2 linked regions of the Danio rerio genome follow. The protein of the gene in region 2 purifies or fractionates together with the protein of the main gene of each other region. This does not show direct contact. Links are inferred from orthologs where the notes say so. Each region holds a gene or a part of one and is shown on either strand. Other genes may lie near its edges.

Region 1 (3,525 bases), on a different chromosome or scaffold from region 2:
ATGGGAATTAAGGAAATGGAGAGAGAGAGAGAGAGAGAGAGAGAGAGAGAGTTTGAGAGCAGTGCTAGAGGGCTGGTCTGCCTTAAATAAGTTTTAGGGAGTAGGTGATTGGTTAAGAAGACAAATTGAGGTGTGGTTCCGCTGCTGAACTTTTGTTAACTTAATGTTATGATGATAGATAAACCAAAATTACTTGTATTTAATTATTTATGCAAGAATCTACACTATGCAGTGTTATTTTATATATTATTATTATTATTATTAAATTTCTGCTCCTCATCTATTACTGTAAACATATTTTCCTGTAAGCCATATCATGTCCATTTGGCTGCAAAAAAAAAAAAAACTGTTTGTTTGATGTCAAAACACTGGCCCTGTTTAGTGTTCATGATCCTTCATGTTTGCTTACGTACATGTCTTGTGCTTTTGGGTAGGATACGACTATCACAGACGGGAGCTCTTTCAACGCCTCCATGCAGACCTCACCAGCTTCAATGATCAACCAGTACAAGTTTGAGGAAGAAGAGGAAGATGTTGGCACCAAAGATATTTTCGTCACAGTCGATAACCCTGAGAGTCACGTGACTGCCATTGAGACATACATCACCTACCGGGTCATGACCAAGGTACAGCAGATCTGAACACAGATTCACCAGGAGCGACTTCTGTGAATAATTCTCTCGCCTTTTTCCATCGTTCTCCTTCATGACAGACCACACGGAGCGAGTTTGACTCTAGTGAGTTTGAGGTGCGAAGACGATACCAGGACTTCCTGTGGTTAAAGGGACGCCTGGAAGAAGCTCATCCTACGCTCATTGTTCATGTGAGTTAAATATAAGTTAGAATTCAAGTGTATGGGAGTGTTTAAATGTAAACTTTTCTCTGAAATTTCAGTTTGTGATGACCAGGTTAAATTTAGGAATAGGACGATAACTGGTTTCAAGTTTTACCACGGTTTGGAAAAGTCATGGTCTTAAAACCACAAAAATTTAGTTATCCCGTTCTGTGTTATATTTAAGGTTTTTTCCTCATGTTGTGTAGATTATCTTTATCAGACCCTTTGATATTTACTTAACACTTAGTGAACTGTTTATTAGTAATAAATCAAAAATTTTGATTTCTGTCATGTGTACAATTTAGTGTTGTCAAAAGTATCAGGTTCAGTACAAATCGGTACTGATATTTTAAAAACGTCCATTTTCTGCTTACATTAGAGCAGTGGTTGTCAACCATGTTCCTGGAGGATGATGAGTAGTGCTTTTACTTGCGCATTTAAAACCCTAACGTGTGATTGTGTCCCATCAGCCTCTGCCAGAGAAGTTTGTGATGAAGGGAATGGTGGAGAGGTTTAATGAAGATTTCATAGAGACCAGAAGAAGGGCTCTGCACAGGTTTCTTAACAGAATAGCAGAACATCCCATTTTCTCCAGCACTGAAGACTTTAAGATCTTTCTCACAGCTGCATCTGAGGTAAGGCTTTTGTTTTTTCTTTTTATCCATTCATCTCTCCCTCCGTCCATCCGCCCACCCGTCTGTCTATCTGTCTATCTATCAGTCTATCCATCCATCCATCCATCCATCCATCCATCCATCCATCCATCCATCCATCCATCCATCCATCCATCCATCCATCCATCCATCCATCTATCTATCTATCTATCCGTGTCTCCGTCCATCCATCCATCTGTCTGTCTGTCTTTGTCTGGCTATTCGTCTATCCGTCTCTCCGTCTATCCATCCGTCTCTGTCTATTTGTCTATCTATAACTATTCATCTATCCATCTCTCCATCCATCCATCCATCCATCCGTCTGTCTGTCCCTCTATCTGTCTGTCCGTCTATCTGTCCGTCTATCCATCTTTCTATATCTATCCGTCTCTCCGTCCATCTATCTATCTATCTATCCATCCATCCGTCTCTGTCTATTCGTCTATCTATAACTATTTATCTATCTATCTATCTATCTATCTATCTATCTATCTATCTATCTATCTATCTATCTATCTATCTATCTATCTATCTATCTATCTATCTATCCGTGTCTCCGTCCATCCATCCATCTGTCTGTCTGTCTTTGTCTGGCTATTCGTCTATCCGTCTCTCCGTCTATCCATCCGTCTCTGTCTATTCGTCTATCTATAACTATTCATCTATCCATCCATCCATCCATCCATCCATCCATCTGTCCCTCTATCTGTCTGTCCGTCTATCTGTCCGTCTATCCATCTTTCTATATCTATCCGTCTCTCCGTCCATCTATCTATCTATCCATCCATCCGTCTCTGTCTATTCGTCTATCTATAACTATTTATCTATCCATCTCTCCGTCCATCCATCCATCCGTCTGTCTGTCCCTCTATCTGTCTGTCCGTCTGTCTGTCAGTCTATCCATCTGTTTATATCTATCCATCTCTCCGTCCATTCATCTATCCATCCATCCGTCCACCTGTCTGTCTATCCGTCCATCCATCTATCAGTCTATGTATATCTATTCATCTATCCATCCGCCCATCCAACCGTCAACTAGTAACTACTCACTGGTCATTAAAACAGTCAACGCTTCTAAGATACTGATGTCTATATTTTTATTTATTATAAACACAGTTAAAACTGAAGGCAAACAAACCAATCAGTCAGTTTCACACACAACATAATCAAAGGACAACACATAAACAAAAGAATATACAAGCAATAATTTCTTTACTGTGTTAGCCTGAAAACCAGCACAGAGCTCGAAATTGTGACCGTTTTGTTATATATGCACCTGAAATTTGATCTATGCAACCTCATAAAATTGTTGCTGTGCGACCTGTTTTCACTGCTAAATGTTGACCACATGCGTGTGTTTAGAAGAAATGCATGCAGAATGCATTTTTGCACCAAAAAAAGGCAAACGCAGTGTTCAGGAATGGTTTAAAAGTTGACATGTCTATTTGCTGCAGTAAACCAATCCCTCAATGCTTGCCCCGCTTTCAAGCTTTTCCTATTGGCCCACTGCTATAGAACAGTATGCGAACGGATCGGTTAATGCCAGCTGTTAATCACTCAGTTTAGATGATAGAGAGCTACAGCCGCGAAAATGTAAAGGTCTTGATAATAGAGAATGAAAATAACATTTTCAGATTTTTTTTAGAAACCACTAATAAGATGTGCCATTATTGTAACTTGTTATCATGTGATGAACAATTCACCATTTACACTTTTCGAAGAATGGATAAAAGACTTCCAGTGGGTTAATGTCTGCTATGAAAATGACTAAAACATTCACCGTAAAGCCGGTGTGATGGAGTTTGCAGGTTTTAGTGTTTGCCACATCTACACATTTTAAGCTACGAGATGTTTTAACATTAACGTTAATCCTTCATTTAATCGTCACGATGCTGTCAGTCATGCGTTCACCGTTGCAAAAGAGCATGCATTCACTGAGATTAAACAAATATTGCAGCTCATGAAAAGACTGTTATTACTAATAAGATGACGTATGCAAACGATAAGTTATATGTGTCAATATCATCTGTGCAATGT
Region 2 (3,525 bases):
AAATTTAGGGCTTAAAAAGTCCTAAATTCACTGAAAAATGGTGTTTTATGTCTTAAATACTTTCAAAAAGGGTGTTTATTTTCCTTGGTCCATGTAAAGCTTCATAATTGGTACAACCAACAGTCCATCTAATAAAAGTAAAATGTATTACTCTCTGTACCAATATGGTTAAATTGACTTCATTACATTCATTTGTTAAAGTTCTCCATGCATTTATGCAGAAATGTATGTTGTGATTAAAATAAGTTCATCATAGTTTTTAAAACTTACATTTTTTTAAAGAAAGGTTATGCTAATAAAATAAATATATGTATATAATTAGACTGCTTGTTTTGGCACACAATTTAAAATATATGGCTAAGAAATAACTGAAATTGAATTTAAATGGGGCAAGTAAAAAAAAATCCTTAAGCCTTTGCCCTGTAGAAGTCTGAAATTTCATTCATAATGGTCTTAAATAAAAAGGTCTTAAAGTCTTAATTTTGACTTTGTGAATCCTGCAAAAACCCTGAAAAAATTACTTTCAAGGGTCACAAAACCCTCCTGTTTCAGCAGGGTGTTTTCAGACTTCTGGTTTGGAAAAAGTCAGGAAAGTGGGAGTGTCCAGCTCTGTTTAGGGGGGAGTGTCGGAGGAGGGAAAGAGGGAAGGTGCATAAACATTAGCATAAAAATGGGGAGTGTCTGTTTGGGCTTGCACTGATTGCAAAACAAACACACAGACGCAGAGGAGAAAGACAGTGACTGTTTACATGGACATCAGCAATCAAATAATTTGACTAATTATTAAATGGTGGACTTTAACTGCTGTTTGGCTCTTTCATTCAGGAATTTCATTTATGCCCCTTGTGACAAATGAGATATTTGATTCGATGAACTGCTGTAAGCGTGTATTTTTAATTTAATGTTTGATACCCTCAGCATTTCTCTGTAATTTAGATGCACTCGGTAGGTAGCATCAAAAAGCCGTGTGTTATTCCTGTCACAAAATGTGACGAAAATCCTACACAAAGGTAATAGTTTGATTTCAGTGTTTACATGTTTACACTCGGAGAGCAGCATTTACAGCAGATCTTTCAGTCTATAGTATTGTAGTGATATTAACGTACTGTAAACTTAGTAACTTACTGAGAAATCATTTGACTAAGGTCTGTCTTTAAACACTGAAAGAGTACTGCTAACGATACGAACTAACTTTGCCATTTGAATAAACAAACAAAGACCACTGATCGCTTACTTACCAAATCTGTAGAGACAGGACAATCAACACCAACTGGGGCCGCGTCTTTATTAAAGGAGACAAGCTGCAAATCCGTATTTCAGCATTTCCAGATGAGAAAAGCTCTCGGGTAAAAAATGTTCCTTAGACATGTATTGTTGTCGCGTGCACTGTAATCCACACGTGAGTCCAGCTGCGCTCTCATAGAGGGAAAATGAAAACAAAAATCTTCCTTGCAGCAAATTATAAAAGCAACACTGACAACCCGTATCTCCAAACAATTCTTCTTCTCCCATTTGTTTTGGCAACACAACGTGGCGTCTCTGTGCTGTCTGAACACTGTACAGGTAAAAGCAGTCTTGGAAGTTACTATGCATATTAATAAACTTGCACCGCATACACAATAGAGCGCGCTGATTGGTTTGAACCAAGTCTTTCTCATGAATGAATGCAGCACACTCAGAGACGTCACAGACAGTCAGTCTACATGCTAGAATACATGCTAAGATCTTATGGCCGTGACGCAGCTTCAAAAATTTGTTTCAAACCGGAAGTACGAATTTGCTCGTAATAACGCAAAAACAACTGACTGATTTAATCTCTGTGTTTCAGACCGGTGGATGCTGCATCAGAAGGGACCAGTCCTGTCCCAGATTCTCTCTGGAGGCGTTACAGCGAGTTTGAGCTCCTTAGAAACTATTTGTTAGTCACTTATCCGTTTGTGGTGGTTCCACCTTTGCCTGAAAAACGGGTATGCAAACAAGATGCTTTGGCCTCTGCCGATTGTAAATGCGATTTGCATTCATATGCTGTAACTGTAACTCATACTTTGTGCAACAGGCGGAATTTGTTTGGCACAAGCTTTCGGCAGACAACATGGACCCTGACTTTGTGGAGAGGCGTCGAGTTGGACTAGAGAACTTCCTGCTGCGAGTGGCTTCACATCCAGTCCTGGCCAGGGACAATATCTTCTATTTGTTTCTCACTGAGGTAGAGATAACTCGCTTATACTGATGAACAAAAGGGTGTAGTCTTCTTGTATAAAGAATATACCAGTTCATTTAAAATGTCTTTAGTTTGTAGTCACTTTGCAGATGAAAATCCTGTCATCATTTACTCTCCCTTCACTTGTCACAAACCGGTTTGAGTTTTTTTCTTCTGTTGAACACAAAGGAAGATCTTTTGAAAAATGTTGGTAACCATTGAATCCCATAGTATTTATTAGCAAGTCAATGGTTTCTAACATTTTTCAAAATGTTTTATTTTGTTTAGCAAAAACAAGAAACGCAGAAAAGTTTGGAACCACTTGAGGGTGAGAAAATGGTGTGTACATTTTCATTTTTGGGGGAACTATCCCTTCAGTGAAGGGTGTATTTATTCTTTAAGTGTGAAATGTTGCAGTTAGAGCATGATAAAAAATCTTCAAATGTCCTCTCAATCCTACAGATGTTATGTTTAGTGTTTTAAGTATTCTGTGACCATCTGAAAATTGTATTATATCTTTTAAAAATGGTAAAATAGGACCTCTTTGTTTTATGGTTAAAGATCTGTAGATCTGTAATTTTTATTTCCATTATAGGTGAAATATAGTAGAATATAACTAGTTTATTTTTTTATTATTATTAAAATTAAATGACAGCCTAGTAGAATTAGAAATGTTCCATCACTGGGAAACATCCATACACACTCATTCACACACATACACTACGGACAATTTAGCTTACCCAATTCACCTGTACCACATGTCTTTGGACTGTGGGAGAAACCGGAGGAAACTCACCCCAACATGGGGAGAACATGCAAACTCCCCACAGAAAAGTCTACTGACCCAGCCAAGGTTCGAACCACCGACTTTCTTGCTGTGAGGCAAAAGAGCTATTCACTGCGCCACTGTGCAGCCGAATTTATGAATTAATAAAGATGATTTATTTCTTGATTACTCAACATAAATCGTTAAAAACTTTGGTGTTTGTAAAAAAAACTGTTTTTGAAAGTGTTTTGTGCTGCATTTACTCAAGCATGTAGCGAATGAGCATTGTTGTAAAATATTACATTTGGTCTTTTTGGTTCCTTTTTGTAATGTAAATATAAAAATGTTACTTATTCTTGTTATAATAAAGCTGAATTTTCAGCTTTACTTCAGTCTTCAGCGTCACACTGCTTCAGAAATCATTATGATATGCTGATTTAGTGTTTAAGAAACATCTCATATTATTTTGAAACACTGAAATTTTCTTCTTGCCATTTTGTGGAAACCTTGATTGCTACATGGTTTTCATCTTTGATGTAATAGTAGTAGTAAAACTTTA

What was found. The genes of interacting proteins can lie anywhere in the genome.
Region 1: the proteins of snx4 (region 2) and snx7 purify together in Homo sapiens (affinity purification with mass spectrometry; 3 studies listed by BioGRID and IntAct, counting the BioPlex papers as one, with this or other methods). This does not show direct contact. The link is inferred for Danio rerio from reciprocal best matches to the Homo sapiens genes SNX4 and SNX7.

The regions. Positions count from the first base shown.
Region 1 is NC_133199.1:34,405,991-34,409,515, reverse strand, and holds part of snx7 (sorting nexin-7), read left to right. Parts: intron 1-434; coding exon 435-626; intron 627-712; coding exon 713-823; intron 824-1,305; coding exon 1,306-1,470; intron 1,471-3,525. UniProt on the Homo sapiens protein: Involved in the regulation of endocytosis and in several stages of intracellular trafficking. Together with SNX4, involved in autophagosome assembly by regulating trafficking and recycling of phospholipid scramblase ATG9A.
Region 2 is NC_133184.1:40,310,871-40,314,395, forward strand, and holds part of snx4 (sorting nexin-4), read left to right. Parts: intron 1-1,828; coding exon 1,829-1,967; intron 1,968-2,056; coding exon 2,057-2,206; exon of another isoform or gene 2,207-2,536; coding exon of another isoform or gene 2,537-2,539; intron 2,540-3,525. UniProt on the Homo sapiens protein: Involved in the regulation of endocytosis and in several stages of intracellular trafficking. Plays a role in recycling endocytosed transferrin receptor and prevent its degradation.